Linked DNA regions of Danio rerio. The protein of the gene in region 3 interacts with the protein of the main gene of each other region in a biochemical or structural test. Links are inferred from orthologs where the notes say so. Each region holds a gene or a part of one and is shown on either strand. Other genes may lie near its edges.

Region 1 (3,500 bases), on a different chromosome or scaffold from region 3:
TCAAAGATGTAAGTCAACAGAATATATTTTATTTTCTGGAAAAAAATTTATTCTGCATTATTTTAATTTGACAAATTTCACAATACAGAGAGTTACTGGGTTACAACTCTATATTAAACACAAAAACCCATTGTGCTGTAGGTGTATGATAATGGGAAGCAGGTCTATCTGGTCACTGAGTTGATGCGAGGAGGTGAGCTGCTGGACAGGATCCTCAAGCAGAAGTTTTTCTCTGAGAGAGAGGCTAGTGCTGTGCTGCACACTATCACAAAGACTGTGGAATACCTGCACTCTCAAGGGGTGAGAAAACCTGCATGAACAAATGCACTCACATTTATCTTGGAGATTAACTTGACACAAGCACAGAATTTGTTAGTATGATTCACAGCTTTGCTTTTCCTTTTCTTTCTGAGGGTGATCCCCAAGGCTCTACCGTGTGCCCTCTTCTATTCCACTCCTCTCTGTTCCCTCTCCGCTATTTACAACGTTTAATGTGATTCAATAAATTGTGTGTTGATGTTTTTTTCCCAGAAGAACCACGAGAGATAGAGTTCTTAGGGCAAATATCATCCTGTAGCTTTTTATAGAGTGCATTATAGCCGTGTTTGAAAAACGAAAAGTTGACTCAATTCAATTCAATTAAAACACTCTTACTTGAAATCTTAGCCCAATATTATAGTAAAAAGTGACTGGGGCTTTTGCAACACTAAACATGTTTTATTGGATTTCTTATGATTGTTAGACAGATGGACTTTTGATTTAAACATGTTCCCAAAAAGAGAAGACATTAGCTACTTTCACAGATGTAGACTTTTCTGGAAAATAACCAGCAGTTTTCTGGAAAGGGATCATGTGTGAACAGGCCTTTTTTGAAAATAGCGGTAAATTTGTTGGATTTGCAGGAAAAAGCGCATTCACATTTAGAATTTACCGGTAAACTTTATTTAGTAATTTTCCAGATATTTACCGGTATTTCTGTGTGAAAGGGGCTAATGAATAACTTATAAAAAAAATAAAAACTTTGACTACCTTAAGCTATCCTTTATTTGTGATCATGTGGTAATATATATGTAGTAATTTACCCATTAGAGACATATTTATTCAATAACATGTAACTCTAAATTTAATTCTTAGTTTTTTTTTTACTGTGCATTAATGCCTCTTGAATTTTTAAAATGGCAGGTAGGTTTGCAGTTGTTTGTGAATTCATTGTAGTTCAATGTAAGTTCTTTTGTCCTGCAGGTTGTGCACAGGGACCTGAAGCCCAGTAATATTCTGTATGTTGATGAGTCTGGAAATCCTGAATCTCTGCGCATTTGTGATTTTGGCTTTGCCAAGCAGCTTCGTGCTGATAATGGCCTCCTCATGACGCCTTGCTATACTGCCAATTTCGTAGCACCTGAGGTGAGCAGTTGTTCTCACAATGGAGCAGGGAATGCTGTATAGAGGGATTCCACTAAAAACTTGTTGAGAAGTCTTATTTTGACACATATTTTGAGAAAATGCTATGAATAAAAAAAAAAACAACAAATTAAAAAAAACGCAACATACACTCTGGGCAAATAGACTACCCTTTTGTTTTGTTTTTGCATAAATCTGTTAATCAACCTCAGTCCTGATTAAAACTACTAAATTGCTTAGAAAATTACAGGATTTTAACTCTCTAATTGCCAAATTGATAAATGATGTCACTGGTTTGGTGAAAAGCACACAAAATGACGTATTATATAAATTATATAAAAATGATGTATATAAAAAGTAATTGTTCTCTAGATTTTTTTTACCTATCTTAACCTTTTTTAAACCTTTTATCACAGTCTTGGAAATGTGAAACAACATTGCCTTTGATGCATTTGTATTTGATTGATTTTCATTTTTTCTCCCTAATTTACTGTTGGTGGCTGTTTTGCTCCATTGACTTCTGTTATAACCATTTTTATTACAAAACTATGACACCCTCATAATCATGCATTTTTTATTGTTGGTGGCTTCTCATGTTGGGACGAGATCAAATTTGTCATTTTTACCGTTGGCCATCTGTTAATACAATTAACACTTTAGATAGGCCTGCAAAGAAACGTAGTTCCTGGAGTTTAAATGGAGTATAACAGCAAATAAAAAAATTGTATGTGTACGTGCATGTGTGAGAGAGTGACCTTTACGCACTTACCTTGATGTGTCCAAGAAAATAAAAATATGCATCTCGGCTCTCAGAACTACATGGAGTAAACAAAAACAAAGACTGTGTATTTATAAACCTTCAAATGTGGTTATAATGGAAGTCAATGGGGCAACAACAGCCACCAACAGTAAATTAGGGAGAAAAAAATTTAAATCTACCAATGCATCAAACCCAAATGTGTTACTAATCGTTCACTTGTCAAAGACTGTAATAAAAGGTTTAAAAAATGCAGTTCACAATTACTTTTTATATTAAAAATATGTCATTTTGTGTGGTTTTTCACCAAATCAGTGACATCATTTATCAATTTGGAAATTTAGTGGTAAAAATCTAAATTTAAAAACAATTTAGTAGTCCTGATCAGGACTGAAGTTGATTAACAGGTTTTATGCAAAAAAAAAAAATTTTAAACATATTTATCTGATGCATTTTACAGCAGTTTAATTCAGTTGATGTGTTTATCCCTAACAACAAAAAGGGTAGTCAATTTGAACAGTGCACAAGGGTTAAGATTTTACAACTATCTTGGCTTCTGTATTGGAAATTATTACTGGCTAAATGACTTCAGATTCTGTGGGATCAGTGTGATGTGGATTTTTAATTTTTTCAGTAACAACTGTTGTCCTTTTGCAGGTACTGAAGAGACAGGGCTATGATGAAGGCTGTGACATTTGGAGTCTCGGCGTATTACTATACACTATGATTGCTGGGTGAGAAGATGCTCATTCACTTCCATTTTTGTAAATATCTTTGCAACACATCCACAACCACTTTCTTTTCGGTTGTTACTTGTTCCAGGTTTACGCCATTTGCCAATGGACCAGAAGACACTCCAGAAGAGATCCTGAGCCGGATAGGGAGTGGACGCTTTACTCTGACGGGTGGCAACTGGGACGCAGTGTCTGATGCTGCCAAAGTAGGCCAATCCCCATTCATCCAGACTGCTTTGAAGGGAGGTGTTTTCTCACACACATGCTTTTCTCTACAGGATTTGGTCTCAAAGATGCTCCATGTGGACCCTCACCAGCGGCTCACAGCCAGGCAGGTGCTGAAACATCCATGGATCGTTCAGAGAGACAAACTTCCCAACAGCCAGCTACAACATCAGGATGCTAAGCTTGTCAAGGTATCCCCGCCTTGAGGATTTTGCACTATTTATATGCAGCATGCATGCCCGGTTCCAGAAAGAAATCAGTTTTTGAGGGTGCTTCTAAACTTAGGGTAGAGTGCTCTAGAAAACTGTAATTATGTAAGGGCCAAGCATGGAAGGTTGATGGTAAAATATTCTATTTAAGGATTACAGTGCAGCCCTAAAATA
Region 2 (3,500 bases), on a different chromosome or scaffold from region 3:
GTTAAATGTCTGTTTAGCAGCAGTATCAACAGATATTAATTAGACCGTCTACAAATACTCAAATGGACCATCAAAATCAAGTGTTACCATAGTTTTAATAGCTCATTTTAAATTGCTGATTTAATTTTTCTTTTCCAAGATGACAGTAAATAATATTTGACCAGATAATTTTCAATACACTACAATAAAGCTTAAAGTGACATTTAAAGGTCTAGGTTAACTTGGTTAAATAAGTTAACTAGGCAGGTTAGGTTAATTATGCAAGTTATTGTATAATGATGGTTTGTTCTGTAGACTATCGAAAGAAAATAGCTTAAAGGGGCTAATCATTTTGACCCTAAAATGGGTTTTAAAAAATTAGAAACTGCTTTTATTCTAGCCAAAATAAAACAAATAAGACTTTCTGCAGAAGAAAAAATATTATTAGACATACTGTGAAAATTTCCTTGCTCTGTTAAACATCATTTGGGAAATATTAAAAAAAAAAAAAAATTCTGACTTCAACTGAACAACACTTTAAGATTTAGATTTTAGTTATTTGTGAGTTTAATTTTAGCTCTTTATTTGTCGGAATGACCCCAGATGTTTTACACACACACACACACACACACACACACACACACACACACACACACACACACACACACACACACACACACACACACACACACACACACACACACACTCACACACACACACTGCATGGGCTGCTGCTGTTTGCTGTTTAAATCTTGATTTCACCCCGTTTTACCCTTTGTTTTCCTTTTCCACATCCCTTATGTCGCTCTCACTGCCGTAATCCATCCCTCATCTCTTCATCCCTATCTCTCCATTGCACTTCTGCTCCTCGGTATGCCCTGTCTCTTCCTGTTCCCATCTTGCTTTGTTGGGTTAGCAAACCTGGCGACGCAGAGCTTTCAGAGGTCGCTGTGCTTTGGAGCAAATGAGAGGTGCTGCAGCTAAATGTACTGCGCACACCTCTAACACACAGGTATCACACACATTTACGCAGCTACTGTATGATGACACTTTTACTTGGTTATCTAAATGAAGACTTATATAATTTTCCATTTTTTTTATTACAGTTATCACAATAAGATTAAGTAAAAATTGTTTTTGTCATTATAAAAATAGATGGTGACTCACAAATGCACTCACAAGAATAAACGAATACTGTATATTTTAGAAACTTCACAAAATTTTACTAATTTTAAAAGTAAAACAAATAAAAAGGGTTTTTCAGCAAATATAGCAGAGTTTTATTAAAATCCTATACTGCCATTTAATTGCTCTTTTTTTTATTAATTCTTTATTATGTTATGCAATACACACTGCAGCTAAATTTGGTCAACAGTTCACATTTTATTGATCAGTCAACAAATTAACTCCCAAATTTTGCAACAGTGAGCATTTACAAACATTTGACTGTGTGCACACGGCTCAACTGAACAAGTGTTTGTTCATGACATTTTAATACATTTAAAAGTCTCTGTTCTTTGTGTATAGAGTAAGAAATTTAAAGGCACCTATGATGAAAATCAACTTTTGTAAGCTGTTTGGAAAGAACTGTCTGTATGTATAGTGTCTACAATCATATTTCTGTGATTTTTTATAAGTTTACCATTTTTTTTCTAAACCGGCATGTGTGTAATAAAGACAGTAAAATCGATATCTAATTCTTAACCATTATAATCATCACAGCCACATGGTGTCTGTAAACGCTAGTGTGTGTGTGTGTGTGTGTGTGTGTGTGTGTGTGTGTGTGTGTGTGTGTGTGTGTGTGTGTGTGTGTGTACTGCAAACGGCATTTGTGTGATACTCGTCATTTCAGAAAGGCTTGAATAAACTCCATGACAAACACATAAAATAAACATACTTGGTATTTTTGACTAATGAGCAGTATTTTAGCTTTATCCGAGTCTGTCACTGTGCTGTATATCTGACGTAGCGCCTGATGAAAAGCAGACATGTACGTGCGAACGGTGGGCGGGGAGAAGCAGCTCATTTGTGTTTAAAGCTACAGATTATAAAAACAGCTACACTGTATTCAGACACCAAATGGGCAGATTCTGGAGTGTGTAATAACTGATCTGATGGGTATTTTGAGCTGACACTTTACAGACACATTCTGGAGACACCAAAGGCTTATCTTACATCTTGAAAAGGCGTAAAATAGTTGCCCTTTAAAGAGAACAAGTTAAGAATTTAATAGCCAATAATAAACTTAAACTTAATCATTTTGGTTGTAAGTTGTGTTGCACAATCAAACAAAACCATTATTTATGTAGTTCACTCCCTTGTTTAAAGGGTGGTCACTAGGAATGCACGCTATTGAAAAAAATATGCAATATTCAATTTCGTTGAGGATTGCGATAACAATATGTCTTGCAATATTACATATCCCTACAGAAATGCTCTTTTTAAAAACGATTTTTATGTTTTTTTTAGTAAATGTAATGATCATTGATTTTTTTTTACACTTTTCTGCGATACAGATCATGCATACAGAGCTCTGCATATATAAATACACCCTTCACAAACGTATCTTCTAAATTCATATTTTAATAGGAAGCTATACAATATTAAATTTGTGCATTTACATTACAGTTGATTAGTCGGTACTGAAGCCAAAACTGGAGCTAATCTAACAAAATAACTTACAATAATGGTCCAAAAACTAGTACAGCCAAATTTTATATTATAAAAAATATTATATACAAGTTTAAAATGAGAGGAAAAAACAAGAGAAGCAAAAAATTAAAAAATTTAGTTGAAATTATGAGTTGAATTTTTTTTGCAATAGTTTGCTTGAATTCAATTGTAATGTCTTTCAATTTCTAGATATCTTTGGTGACTAAAATATTATTTTAATAAATAAATATATCTGTTTAATAAATCTGTTTTGTTTAAATGCACTAAAATGCATTGCCTATATTCACTGAGAAATGGAGAAAAATATTCATTTAAAAAATGGGGAGTACTCTTAAATGTATTTTGTAGCCCTAGTTGTTGCTACTGAAACTTCACAATTTGGAGGTGGCTAACATGCTAACAAGTGTCATCCTTTTCAGTTTATTTAGTAATACAAAATAATTTGAACCCCATGAAAACCAATCCTCATTTTAAATGTGAACAATATGTCTGCAGTGTTTCTCCCTCAAGAATTTAAGCATACATTTGCACTTACTCGTATAGGCACTTCATCATGGCATTCAACTTTAAGTATTTTTAATTGCATCTCCAGAGGTTTTCTGTTCTCATGGTGTCTGTTCAGCTGTCTCCTCTTGTTCATGCTACCAAATCAGATTCAGTCTTTATAGCCCACAGCATAACCCCACAACAATGTCATATTTTATGGGTGTATGATCCTATGTCTTGTTTTTTATGGCAGCCTGCAATAGTGCGACACCACTGGGTCCATCGGAGAAGACAAGAGGGCAAATGCAAACAGTGTGGAAAGGTGAGTAAAATCACAAAAGTATTCACACTATATTTATGAG
Region 3 (3,500 bases):
AAAAATAAAGAAAAAGAAATTCTGTATATTATATATTCCTTAAAAAATAGATGGTTCAACTCAAGTGGTTATCCCAATCAATACATTAAAATGATATAGCATGTATGCATTTGATATTTACATTTTCCAAGATACTTAAAAAATACCATGGTTATACTAGAATAAATTGCAGAAAGCATATTATTCATATGCTATGTTTTCTAAAACATAATAATTCATTAATAATTATTTCTGTGATGTCAGTATTATGTCTAATAAGACAACAAAAGGGTTAAGGAATATAAGTGCTCAATATTATACATTATGTAAACTTATATTGTGCAGTTTTGTCATTCATTCATTCATTCATTCATTCATTCATTCATTCATTTTCCTTCAGCTTAGTCCCTTTATTTATCAGGGTTCGTCAGAATGGAATGGCTAACTTATCCAGTATATGTTTTACACAGCAGATGCCCTTCCAGCTGCAAACTAGTACTGGGAAACACTCAAACACACTTGCATTCACACACGTATGATGAACATTCACTGTTCTCTAGTCTACGGCAAGTAGATTGCAGGTTTGCACAGGAAATTTGCCACTTCTATTAAAAAAAGATGCAGTTCAAGTTAGTGTTGATTTTTCTGTCTCTACAGATTTGGTAAGTGTGTGATCAATGTTCTTTGTTTATGTTTATTCAGATAGCAAAGTAAGTTAGTATCGTCAGCAGTACTCTTTTAGTTTTAAAGACATACCTTAGTCAAAATGATTTAGGCACTATGTTTACAGTAATATCACAACAATATTATAAATTAAAAATCCTCCACTTCCACACAGCTCTCAGATCTTCTGTAAACACTGTTCTCCGAATCACTGTCTATCTCCCCTGCGTCTGTGTTTGTGTTGCCGGTGTAAAAATCAGCTGCTGTGCATGTAATGAAACTCCCTTTTTCATGCAAACCCTTCCCTCTTTTGCCACTCGACACTCCCACCAAAACAAAGATGGACACCCACTTTCCTTTTTTCAAATTAAAGGTGTAAAAACACCCTGCTGGTAAAAAGGGGGGGTTGGTGTTCATGGCCCTTTAACAAAGCATTAAAAATCGTCCTAAAGGACAAAAATAAATATTAAAACAACTTCTGAAACCACTAAAAAAAGTGGACAGGCACTGTGGCGTTCTATATCCCAGCGTGGGATTTTCTCCAATGAGCTTTCACCATTGGCACAGCTGCCCGACTTGACAGAAACTTGAGATTTCACAGAGCAAGTCGAGCCAAAATAAGTTTAGAAAAGTTCTGAGAAACAACAAAAAAAGCCTAGCTACGCTTTCTGCCAGTTTAGGGTCAACAAAACATTAACACATGCCAGCAGAGGCTGTGATAACTGCCCTATCAGCTTTGGAGTGAGATTCGGGCTGTAGTCCAGCTAAAATTGGACCTCAAATCTTACTCTTGTAGTAATAGCTGCTGCTCGGACGGGCATTTAAAATGCAATTTTACTGTTTCTTTCCAACTGGCTGAGGAAGATTGCAGTTGTGCGTTTCAGTTCCCGATTGGTCATCTCTGCCAGCTGGCATGCAAATGTGTATTTGCATGCGCTTGTACAGAGGCATGTGTTCAACAGAAGTGTGTGCTGTGATTGTTTTTGTATGAATGAGCAGTACGTCTGTGTGTGTGTATGTGTGTGTGTGTGTACCGTGTGGCGAGCAGAGGGTAGGTGTGTGTCGGGGTGAGCCAGTGTTCTCTCATGCGTGGCATACTGTCAAACAGCAGCAGATCTTTCTCCGTCAGCATCACGAGCACCGGCTTCCAGCTCTGCCTTTCACTTTCCGTCTGAAACACAAAGACACAAAACCTCAATTAGATACCGTGTAATTACATTTGATCATATTTCTCCTTGTTATTTGATCCTATTTTTCCATTCTCATTTTTAGACACTAAAGGAACAGTTCACCCAAAAAAATTAGTTTCAGACCTTTGAGATTATTTTACTTTATATTTTATATTGGAAAATGGTACCTGTTGACATCCATGATAGGAAAATGAAAACTCTATGGAAGTCAATGTCTACTTGATCATAACTTTAAACAAAAAAAACTATTTTTTACTACTATAAAAAAACATAAATTTGGAACAAGCTAAGGATTATGAGTAAGTTATGACAGTTTTCTTTTTGGGAGTCCTTTCATTTTACATATTTTGTTAATCTGAGAGATATGTAAATAAGCGCAGGTCAAGCAGTAAACCTCTGGGCTGTTTCTCTTTTAGGAAAACTTCATGTAACTAGTCGGAAAGTCAAAGCCAGAGTATAAAAACTATTGAGCCTCTTAAACTGTAACTGATTCATCAGCAAAATGAGCACTGATGTAACATGCTGAAAGCCATTTGCAACTTTTAGATGACCTCAAAGAAACAATGTTACAACATGTTTAAAGCGGTCATGTACTGACTATATAAAATCCCCTTGATCTGCTGACATAAGAGGTCATTGTTCTCTAAAAAACATCCTGTACTTTACCGAACTCAATACTTACTAATCTAAACAGTCCAATTTTATCATGTAATAGTGTGACACTCAATATATATTCAGACAGACACAAAAACATAACAAATGCCATATGTTGTTGTTGTTTTTATTGCAAAGATAGCCTAGATCAGTGGTCACTAACAGGCAGATCAAGGTCCATGTCCAGACCCAGAAGCATCCAATACAGGTGCAGACATACAGCAGGTCTGTTACTTCAGTCCCACTCCTGCTGGGTGTTCTTTCGCACCGATCCCTTCTGCTATTCACACTGTTTACCCACTGTTCCTGCTGAATAAGAAAGAAGAGCCGAACGCTCTCTCTATGCTTAAGTTTCGTTTACTACGATGGTGTCAAGTGAAACAGAGCTCTCTAGAATCATAATAAAGTCATATAGAAGTAAAATATATCATAAATATCATAAAGAAAAATGCACTGTTGCCTTGGTAATACAAGCATAATGTAAACAGAAGTAATCAATACTTTAAAAGTGCTCAATTATTAAGATGTGTAGACATAAATATGTAAAATATGTTATGTGTTGACATAAATATGTAAAATGTAAAATAGAAAAAGTGGAAATTTAAGCCTATTTTCTTAAACAAATTATTAGAACATACATTTTTCAAAATGCCCTACTTTTACTTAATTAACATGAGAATATGCAAATCTACAGTCATATGTGTGGGGCTGTTGCATTGTGAGGTATTTGACACCCAATAAATATGTTTATTGTTCTTTGAATTGTTCTGTAGGCATTTTTTTTTTCTAAGCATAGCACAAACAGTGCCATACCAAAACCTTGACTCTAAAACCATGATACATACTGTACCGTGAGTAAATTGAACTGTTGCACCCAATATATATATATATATATATATATATATATATATATATATATATATATATATATATATATATATATATATATATATATATATATATATATATATATATATATATATATATATATATATATATAATTTTATAATATGT
Region 4 (3,500 bases), on a different chromosome or scaffold from region 3:
TAAATAAGTAGTTTGAACAAGCAGCAGAAGTCATTTTTTGAGTGTTTGTCATGGCAACTTGATATTACCAAGACAGGATAACTTGTCATAAATCTGTCATGAACATGAATGTCATGAGGCTATTGTAATTGTATAATGAATAATAACCTATTTACATTTTTCAAAGGGACAAACTGAATTTGTGATTAAATCTGCTAAGTAAAAGTGCTAAATAAGTTTATAACAGTGTCATTAAATTTCCATTTTTACCACTGTAGTTGAGGTCAAGAAAAAATAGTAGTGATGCTTTTTATGAAATTCATGACAATTATAATAGCCTTATGATTAGGGATGCGATTATAGATTTTGGTTGTACGATTATAGTCTGAGGCATAATCATCATTATTATCCATTTATTCATTTCAAAACAGTAGTTTAAAAAATCCCATGATAACTCCTTATATTTTAAAGTGTTATTATTGCAGCTTAGTAACCAAATAATACAACACAAATACAACACAAAATAATAATAAAACAAACAATAGTCCATTTCTCTTTGGTAAAGTAAAAAAAAAAAAGAGTTTTCGACATTTAAACACAAGTAATTTTACACTGAAAATAAGTGACTGAACAATAATAAATAAATAAAAATAAGAATAAATAAAAACTTTTTGTCTGTTTAATGTAAATCTATTGTAAGTATTTAATCATGTAAATGTAAATATTTTCCTTTAAAGAGAACATATGTAGCCTCAGTGTACAAGCTCGGAACTTCAAACTAGCGCACAGTCGGCACAGCTTTGTTTAGTTACAGCAGTTGTGTTCCATGTAGAAACGCGGTGTTAAGAAGCCTTAACGATTAATTAACCGTGATGAATTAAAGCACGGTTAATATTTAAAACGGTTAATTGTTGCATCCCCACTAATGACAATCATGTTTATGACAGATTTATGACAAGTTATGTTGTCTCGATAATGTCAAGTTGTCATAAAGAAGAAAAAGAAAGGTTATGATGTATTGGTTATGTCAAGTTGTTGTTACAAAGACATCTCTTTACCTTTGCATTTAAAATGACATAACTAAGCGAATGACACTTACAGTAATGACAGTTGTCATAAGCATGCATAAAATCTCATTCACATGTTACCATTTAAAGTAAAAGTGTTACTGAGTTTGTCACATGGTATTTTGCCAACTATATAATTTGGATGCAGTGACAGCTTCCCATGTTGACAGGCGTTAACATGCACATCTTCCTCAGCTCTAACAGCTGCTGCTGGACGGGGCAAACAGGAGGGCTGTGTGTTCCTGCTGGATCAAGGTGCCATTGTAACACAGCCAAACCGCAGAGGGGTTGCACCCATCTTTAATGCAGTGCGACATGGACACACACAAGTATGACCCTTTATTACACGTTTAAAAAAAAGTCCAATTTTACATTGACGTCACTCATCTCTTTTACGTATTTGCAGATTGCAGAGTTGTTTCTTCAGCGCGGTGCAGATGTGAACTGCGGTGATAAACATGGTCGCTCTCTACTGATGGTGGCTGCAAGTGAGGGACACCTGGAGACTGTGGACTTCCTGCTCTCAAAGGGTCAGTGATTGGGGCATGGGAGTCCTTAGTTTACCCGCAACTCAATAAGATCATAAAAAAGACCTCAGTTATTAACATCAGAGTTTACACATGTTGTGGAAATTTCTCTTTCCTGCTTAAGAATTGTATATAAAAGTACTGGAATTAATAATAATAATAATTCCTTACATTTATGTTGTCAGTGGCGTAGCGGACAGGCCCGCATGATTAGGGGGCCCTGCGTCATCACGATTTTTAATAATTGTAAATCCGGCAACCGCAATAATCAAACTCTCGGGAACAACTGTGGTCGGAACCAAAGTTCACAGGTCTGTGTTCTCTGAACACCTCTCAAGCGGTGGACTACTTCATTCTGATTGCTTGCCACCGAACCGCATTATAGCTCATACCAAAAAGTTGACTTGATTTTACTATCCTCGCCGCCGGTTCTCACTGAAAATGAATGACTTCTGGCTACTTTGAGTTTGGGTTTGGTAAAAATATTGTTTCCCAAACTAAGCCTTAAGAAAAAAATCCTTAGGGCTCTATTTTGACGGTCCATTTTTTGGACGGTGCCGCTTTCAGGGCGTGTCAGGACGCTTTTTGCTAATTTAAGGACGGGAAATCTGCCTTGCGCTTCGACGCATGGTCTAAAAGGGTTGAGTTTATTTTCCTAATGAGTTATAGGTGTGTTTTAGGAATAAACCAATTAGAGTCTCATCTCCCATTCCCTTTAAGAGTCAGCTGCGTCGCGCCAAGAGCGCATTAACTATTTACAGAACGCAAAGTAAGTGTAAGTGGAAAAAATGAGCATTTCACAAGCAAACAGTTAACAGTTTTTTAACAGAAAACTGTTAAACAGAGCATCTACTGCGTGAGAATGAGAGATAATGGATCACTTTCACTTTCGCTCTTGGATAGGGAAACCTTTACGCACAGACATCAATTAGTCTATAAATAAATACTTTTGTTTGTTAAGCGCAAATATTTGTTTCAAAACTATTTCTAAATTCAGTTCTAATTTCCAGCAAATGAATAAATGAATAATAATAACAAAATGTGCTCAAAAACCTGAGTTATATCCTAAAACACATGCTGTGCCCCATATGGTCTAAAACCTGACAGGTGGGCAAATCTAAGCTTGTTTTTAATAAAACAAATATAAATATGGATATATTAAATAATACTGCTAATAATAATAACATTATACAAAAGCAAATTGTTATGAATGAACTGAAAAAACCTCCCGAGATGAAGAAGACATAAAAGCAGTGATTTTTCATATTTATGTAGGCTAGAAAATAATATGTTTTGTAATATTTTAATCCTTTATATTTATGTCCTATATCTATTCTTATTATATACTATATATATCCTTAATATTTATATTTTTTCATATGTAAAGATATTTGCCTATTGCTCTCTTGTGCGTATTAAGCAGTGTGTAAGCGAGGCGCAACTCTGCGTCGGAGTTTAGACCGGGTTAGTTTTGGTCTAATAAAAAATCTATTATAGTTTCTTAAAGTAGCAATGCGCCAGCGGTCCACCTCAGAACGGCTTCATTTTTAGACCAGAACGCCTATGGGCGCAAAAATGAGCGCTAATGCATTTGCTATTTAAACAGCGTAGCGCAACGCCTCAAAACGACTCTTGTGCCAAGCTGAAACTACTAAAAGACTACTGCGTCACGCCTTACATCACACTGCGCCGGGTGTATGATAGGGCCCTTAGTGTTTAGCTCTGTATAAGTCTGAAAGTTCATTCATAATGGTCTTAAAAAGGTTTTAAATTTGACTTTGAAACCTGCAGAAACCCAGTTGATCAGACTTTTTGATCTTATTAGCCACTGCACCAAATGTTCTGCCTTTGTTTGTGTCTCTGAATAAAATGAAGGCGTTTTTCTTAGCTAGACTGTGACCTCTGACGCATTTGTTTTTGGACCATT
Region 5 (2,232 bases), on a different chromosome or scaffold from region 3:
TTACTGATAGGCACGTTCCTGCAGACAAGCCCATTGACTTGCTCAATGTTGCTTTCAAAATGCAAGAAGCAAAGATGCCTCCCAAGTCCATGAAGAAAGGTAAAAATAAGAAGACTGACTGTGATGATGCTGATAAAACGCAATTGGATCAGCAGAAGTTTAATCCGTTTAATGTGCCTGACCGAATAACAGGAAGAGCAGGTCTGCAAGAACTTAAAAATCTCAGTCCAAAGCGCCAGTGGAACTTTATCGAAATTAACGTAACTCAAGAGGAGCTGGTGGAAATGCGACAGAAACGCATCTGTCATTTGGTGCACCCTTTGGACACTGTTCTGGATGACAGCCTTGGATGTGCTATTTGGTTTGCTGCCAGAGGAATTGGTGTCATAAATGAGGCTGTTGATGAAGAACTTTATATTTCAGAAGCAAAGGTAACATTAATACTCTGTTTGTATTCAGTTATGTCTGTGTGCAAGGACTAGGTCACATTGTATAAAATGTTATCTTCCTGTTTTCACAGGTGGTTCTGACTGGCATCGGGGCAGACGAACAGCTGGCGGGTTACTCCAGACACAGGGTGCGATATAAACACTCGGGACTTGAAGGACTAATCAGAGAGCTGGCTATGGAACTGGGACGAATATCCTCAAGAAATCTTGGAAGAGATGACCGAATCATTGGGGATCATGGAAAAGAGGCCAGGCAAGTATTACACTTCAACAGTTCAAACAACATACAAGAGTATATTCACACAAGAAAAGTTTATTATTAATTCACTTGTTTGTTCAGGACCAAACCCATTGCCGATTTCTTTTAAATTTGTTGTAGTGTTGTTAAAAGTATTGAGTTCGGTACTGACATTTGAAAAACTTTAATTTCCCGCTAACATTCAAGTGTAGTTGAGTACATTTTTAAACACTGCTGATTGGCCATTATGTTCACATGCTTAACAGAAGTAACTGTGATTGGCTGTGAAGTTCATCAATTCACCATTCTTCACCAAGTGCAAACACAGACGCACGGACACTGGGGCAGTTCGAAGCCATGTAGATCAGTCGGTCCATAAGCAGATCGCTCGTATGTCATCTGATAGACAGATCAGCTAATCTACGCAGCTTTGAAATGCTCTAGTTTCCGTGTGTCTGTGTTTGCACTTGATGAAGAATGGTGAATTGATGAACGTCACAGCCAATCAGTCATTTCTGTTGACTATTTGAACACAATGGCCAATCAGCGGTGTTTAAAAATGTGCTCAAATGCACTCAAATGTTAGCGGGAAATTGAAGTTTTTAAAATGTCAGTATCGATTGTTACTGAACTCGATACTTTTAACAACCCTAATTTGTAGGGATGCTTCAATCGATCGCCTGAAGATTGGTATCAGTCGATTCGACACATTCAGTCGACACATTTCATGACTTAAGTACTCACCAAACCAATCGCAGGCGTTTATGAGTTTACAAGCAAAGGAAGATGCATGTGTCCTCCCGTATATTATACATAGCCTACAGCAGCCACAGCACAGGTAAATGATGCATGAGGAGGTAAGCGATCGATGCGCTTGCGTCACAACAGCTAAAATATATACAGATGCGGTGCGAACTGTTTATACAGTTTATTGGGGCGACTAGCGCGAGTGATGCTCTCTTTGCCCCAAGTGTAGCCATTGTATTTCCAGTATTTTAGCTGCCATGACACGAGGGGAGCGATTGCCCCTATCTAGGGTCTTATCCAACCTTATGCCCTTTCCTGGAAGCTCTGCGAGTCTCCCCCAAATTCATTTGGTCCCCAAATATTTGTTTTAATACCTGGAAATCATGGCAACAAGAGTAAACGAGAAAGAGAACGGATCGTAAGAGGCACAGTGATGTTCTAGGCATTACATTACTTAGGTTAAATAAATTGAGCAGTGAGATATTGCAAGTGCAAATCTCTCCCTCTTTCTCATTGAGTGATCTGTTGTCAATAGTTGGAGATGAGCTAAATGCATGCATTAAGGCCTTTTTACATATAACAACTGAAAGTTCTGTGTTTTTGGCAATATTGCAAGTTCACTAAAAGCTGACTGGAATTATTACATAAATAAAACTTTAAAAATGAACATGAATATTTAATAATATAACTTGTAATACACTCATTGATATAAAGAGTAGGCCCATTTCTAATTTTCTTATTTCTATTATGCACTCCAAACTTTTACTTGATTTAGACATTTTGAATTATTTTTTCATC
Region 6 (4,161 bases), on a different chromosome or scaffold from region 3:
AATTAAAAAAAGATTAAATGTTTTTAAAAAGTTTTAACAACTATTATAAACTAAATAGCAGTCGCCTCACAGCAAGAAGGTCGCTGGTTCGAGCATCGGCTGGGTCAGTTGGTGTTTCTGTGTGGAGTTTGCATGCTCTCCCTGCGTTAGTGTGGGTTTCCTCCGGGTGTCTCCATTTTTTTACAAAGTCCAAAGACATGCGGTACAGGTGAATTGGGTAGGCTAAATTGTCTGTGGTGTATGAGTGTGTGAATGTGGATGTTTCTCACAGATGGGTTGGGGGTGGAATGGCATATGCTGGATAAGTTGGCGGTTCGTTCCGCTGTGGCGACCCCAGATTAATAAAGGGACTAAGCCAAAAAAAAAATGAATGAATGAATAAACTAAATATATACAACAATCTGTCCAGGTCGCTTTCCTCAGCAGTAAATAGATAGAGATCTTTTAAACGAATGTTATTGTTAGGAATATAATTAAACCGGTAAATAGAGTTAAAATTATATTCTATAAATAAAAAGTTTTATTGAGATGATTGTTGGTGATTGTATGGGTTTTGGCCAGATTTGGTAGCTATAAATGAACAAAGGAAAATTAAGACCGGTTTAAAAAAAGATTTAAGACCTAAAACACAATATTTCAGTTATTTTAAGACTTTTACGGCATAACATTTAAATTTTGAGATTAAAGACATTTAAAAACCAAGCAGAAACCCTGTTTAAAGCACTTTATCTTAAGTGAAAAGCCAATAAAAACACAATACAGGTGACATATTGAGGTATGGTTGGTTTTGTATTTCCACATTCGTTCAGTGACAACTTATATATTAAACGTACTTGTTTACCACGTTACTTTGAATATTGGGTCTGAATTCGCATGCAAAGTGACATTAAAATCACACTAGCATGGTGTACTTTCCTAGTCATTGGCTGCTAATGTGATTTATTTATAATACTAAATATTGTGTAAATATAATAACTTCATCTAAATACGTCAAGTTTTACTGAAATAACATAGCTGTCAAAGTTTAATTAGCTTAAATAAAACATTACAAACCAAACAACGTGTGACTAAACAAAGTCTGCGTTAATAGTAACGTTAGCTGTAAAACATCTAAGTACTTTTTAAACGCATTAATGAGTGCATGTGTAAACAAAGACGCGTTATTATTATTCAGCTGTTAGTTAGCTAACAAGCTAACTATCGTTTATTTTCATAACACCTCCACTGCTTGCAGAGACGAAAACAGTCCTCGAGTCTGCACGAAGCTCAAGCTAACATGTCAGATAACACCACCCGAATGTATACGAAAGTTGTTAAATTAACTAAACACAACTAAAGGTGTTTGAATGGGTAAAGCTGCTAGCTGATGTTAGCCGAGTGAGAATGACGTCACGGAGAAGTGTCAATCCGTCTCACGTCGAGTTTTACAAATAAAACTCTGAATGTTTACCTCGTGTTAAATGAATCGTCAAGGTCTTCATTCCTGTGGCAGATTAGGATGGAGATGGTGGAGTAAAGCGTCAATTCTGCATGTCTGCGAGTTGAGGTGGATGTTCAGTCCTCTCTCAGCTGGCAGTGTCTCATATGGGTGGATTTGAGCGACACAGGATTTCAAACTTCCCTTACAAGACATGGTGACTACAGCAAAACCACATATTAACTGCTAATATCGGTAACGTTATACTGTAAATACATGATACACTGGTTAATCCTTCACTTTAACCCTTACTTTTTGAACAGACATAAAAAATTACATGTTCAATAAAATTGTTTATTTACTGGAAAAAACAGCTTAAACCAGCCTAGACTTTTGCCACTTCCAGGCTGGTTTCCAGCCATTTCCAGCCTGGTCTTAGCTAGTCAGGCTGGGAGGTGACCAGCTAAAACCAGCTTATCCAGCCAAAACCAGCTATGTCCAACTTAAACCAGGCTGGTCAAGCTGGTTTTAGCTGGTTAAGGCTGGTCATTTTCCAGCCTGACCAACTAAGACCAGGCTGGAAATGGCTGGTAACCAGCCTGAAAGGGGCCAAAACCCCTCTAAAACCAGCCTGGTTGACCAGCTAAAACCAGCCTAACAGCACGTAGGGCTGAAGCTGACACTAGTGGATGCTCTGGAACTCTGGGGCTGAAGTCAACACTATGGGGCACCCTTGGTCTGAAACCAACATCGGGGGGGGGGGGGCTCTGGGCCTGAAGTGGATACTCAGGGGCCCTTTGAGGCTGAAGGCAACACTGGAGGGCACTCTGGGGCTGAAGCCAACACTGGGGGGCACTCTGGAACCAAAGCAGACACTGCATGAACTCTGAGGCTAAAGTCAACACTGGGGGGCACTCTGGAGCTAAAGCCAATAATGAGGGCTCTCTGAGGCTGAAGCCAACAATGAGGGCACTCTGGAGCTGAAGCCAACACTGGGGGCACTCTGGAGCTGAAGCCAACACCCTGGGGCACTCTGGGGCTGAAGCCAACACTGAAAGCACTCTGGAGCTAAAGTCAACACTTTGGGGCACTCTGGGGCTGAAGCCAACACTTAGGGCACTCTGGGACTGATGCCAACATTGAGGGCACTCTGGGGTTGAGGCCGACACTGAGGGCACTCTGATGGCTGAAGTCAACTCTGAGGGCACTCTGGGGCTGAAGCCAACACTAAGGGCACTCTGGGGCTAAAGCCAACACTGGGGAGCACTCTGGGGCTGAAGCCAACACTGAGGGCGCTCTGGGGTTGAAGCAGACACTGGGGAGCACTCTTGGGCTGAAGCCAAAACCGAGGGCACTCTGGAGCTGAGGTCAACACTGTGAGGCACTCTGGGGCTGAAGCCAGCACTAAGAGCACTCTGAGGCTGAAGCAGACACTGGGGGCACTCTGGGTTGAAGCCGACACTGAGGGTACTCAGGGACTGAAGCCAACACTGGTGGCACTCTGGGGCTAAAGCCAACACTGAGGGCACTCTGGGGCTAAAGCCAACACTGAGGGCACTCTGGGGCTGAAGCAGACACTGGGGGCACTCTGGGTTAAAGCCGACACTAAGGGCACTCAGGGACTGAAGCCAACACTGGTGGCACTCTGGGGCTAAAGCCAACACTGAGGGCACTCTGGGGCTAAAGCCAACACTGAGGGCACTCTGGGGCTAAAGCCAACACTGAGGGCACTCTGGGGCTGAAGCAGACACTGGGGGCACTCTGGGTTAAAGCCGACACTAAGGGCACTCAGAGACTGAAGCCAACACTAGTGGCACTCTGGGGCTAAAGCCAACACTGAGGGCACTCTGGGGCTAAAGCCAACACTGAGGGCACTCTGGGGCTAAAGCCAACACTGAGGGCACTCTGGGGCTGAAGCGGACACTGGGGGCACTCTGGGTTAAAGCCGACACTGAGGGCACTCAGGGACTGAAGCCAACACTGGTGGCACTCTGGGGCTAAAGCCAACACTGAGGGCACTCTGGGGCTAAAGCCAACACTGAGGGCACTCTGGGGCTAAAGCCAACACTGAGGGCACTCTGGGGCTGAAGCAGACACTGAGGGCACTCTGGGGCTAAAGCCAACACTGAGGGCACTCTGGGGCTGAAGCAGACACTGGGGGCACTCTGGGTTAAAGCCGATACTGAGGGCACTCAGGGACTGAAGCCAACCTCGGCGGGCACTCTAGGACTGACGTCGACATTGAGGGCACTCTGGGGTTGACGCAGACACTGGGGGGAACTCTTGAGCTGAAGCTGAAACTAGTTGCACTATAGGGCTATAGCCAACAACAGAGGGCCCTTCGGTACTGAAGGGTACACTGGGGGAGCGAGTGGTCACTGCTGACATTCTCAGGAGGCAGGTGCATAGTGAATCTGCCAGTATGTAAGGTGAAAAGCACACTGGCAGAACTCCACCATACATTTGACATCAGGTCAAATGTACCTCAAAATACTTTCATCTCCCACTGTGGTATACACTTGAGCCGAGCACTGCATTAAAGACTGGAGAATTAACAAGACCAAAACAAAAGAGTCCCGACAATCAGACCATCATACATTAAAACAATCACCATTTTCCTGAATCCCACACCTAGTACATCCAGAGAAACCGAGAATTTTCAAGTGGTTGATTTTTTTTGTTTCTCTCATAAAAGAAAACAACCTTCTTCAAATGAAACAACACATTCTTTATGAAAGATCAGT

Evidence for each region.
Region 1: the proteins of sntb1 (region 3) and rps6ka1 interact in a test that uses a peptide from one of them, tested with the Homo sapiens proteins (2 studies listed by BioGRID and IntAct, with this or other methods). The link is inferred for Danio rerio from reciprocal best matches to the Homo sapiens genes SNTB1 and RPS6KA1.
Region 2: the proteins of sntb1 (region 3) and dgkza form a complex in vitro, tested with the Homo sapiens proteins (2 studies listed by BioGRID and IntAct, with this or other methods). The link is inferred for Danio rerio from reciprocal best matches to the Homo sapiens genes SNTB1 and DGKZ.
Region 4: the proteins of sntb1 (region 3) and tanc1a interact in a test that uses a peptide from one of them, tested with the Homo sapiens proteins (2 studies listed by IntAct, with this or other methods). The link is inferred for Danio rerio from reciprocal best matches to the Homo sapiens genes SNTB1 and TANC1.
Region 5: the proteins of sntb1 (region 3) and asnsd1 interact in a test that uses a peptide from one of them, tested with the Homo sapiens proteins (2 studies listed by IntAct, with this or other methods). The link is inferred for Danio rerio from reciprocal best matches to the Homo sapiens genes SNTB1 and ASNSD1.
Region 6: the proteins of sntb1 (region 3) and cysltr2b interact in a test that uses a peptide from one of them, tested with the Homo sapiens proteins (2 studies listed by IntAct, with this or other methods). The link is inferred for Danio rerio from reciprocal best matches to the Homo sapiens genes SNTB1 and CYSLTR2.

Annotation. Positions count from the first base shown.
Region 1 is NC_133192.1:28,642,653-28,646,152, forward strand, and holds part of rps6ka1 (ribosomal protein S6 kinase alpha-1), read left to right. Parts: coding exon 1-8; intron 9-141; coding exon 142-300; intron 301-1,242; coding exon 1,243-1,404; intron 1,405-2,815; coding exon 2,816-2,892; intron 2,893-2,980; coding exon 2,981-3,098; intron 3,099-3,170; coding exon 3,171-3,308; intron 3,309-3,500. UniProt on the Homo sapiens protein: Serine/threonine-protein kinase that acts downstream of ERK (MAPK1/ERK2 and MAPK3/ERK1) signaling and mediates mitogenic and stress-induced activation of the transcription factors CREB1, ETV1/ER81 and NR4A1/NUR77, regulates translation through RPS6 and EIF4B phosphorylation, and mediates cellular proliferation, survival, and differentiation by modulating mTOR signaling and repressing pro-apoptotic function of BAD and DAPK1.
Region 2 is NC_133182.1:39,301,639-39,305,138, forward strand, and holds part of dgkza (diacylglycerol kinase zeta), read left to right. Parts: intron 1-895; coding exon 896-991; intron 992-3,391; coding exon 3,392-3,460; intron 3,461-3,500. UniProt on the Homo sapiens protein: Diacylglycerol kinase that converts diacylglycerol/DAG into phosphatidic acid/phosphatidate/PA and regulates the respective levels of these two bioactive lipids.
Region 3 is NC_133191.1:15,526,546-15,530,045, forward strand, and holds part of sntb1 (beta-1-syntrophin), read right to left. Parts: intron 1,814-3,500; coding exon 1,677-1,813; intron 1-1,676. UniProt on the Homo sapiens protein: Adapter protein that binds to and probably organizes the subcellular localization of a variety of membrane proteins. May link various receptors to the actin cytoskeleton and the dystrophin glycoprotein complex.
Region 4 is NC_133181.1:13,014,316-13,017,815, reverse strand, and holds part of tanc1a (protein TANC1), read left to right. Parts: intron 1-1,241; coding exon 1,242-1,375; intron 1,376-1,452; coding exon 1,453-1,576; intron 1,577-3,500. UniProt on the Homo sapiens protein: May be a scaffold component in the postsynaptic density.
Region 5 is NC_133184.1:42,813,948-42,816,179, reverse strand, and holds part of asnsd1 (asparagine synthetase domain-containing protein 1), read left to right. Parts: coding exon 1-431; intron 432-520; coding exon 521-702; intron 703-2,232.
Region 6 is NC_133190.1:3,203,655-3,207,815, reverse strand, and holds the start of cysltr2b (cysteinyl leukotriene receptor 2), read left to right. Parts: upstream 1-1,361; 5' UTR 1,362-1,634; intron 1,635-4,161. UniProt on the Homo sapiens protein: Receptor for cysteinyl leukotrienes. The response is mediated via a G-protein that activates a phosphatidylinositol-calcium second messenger system.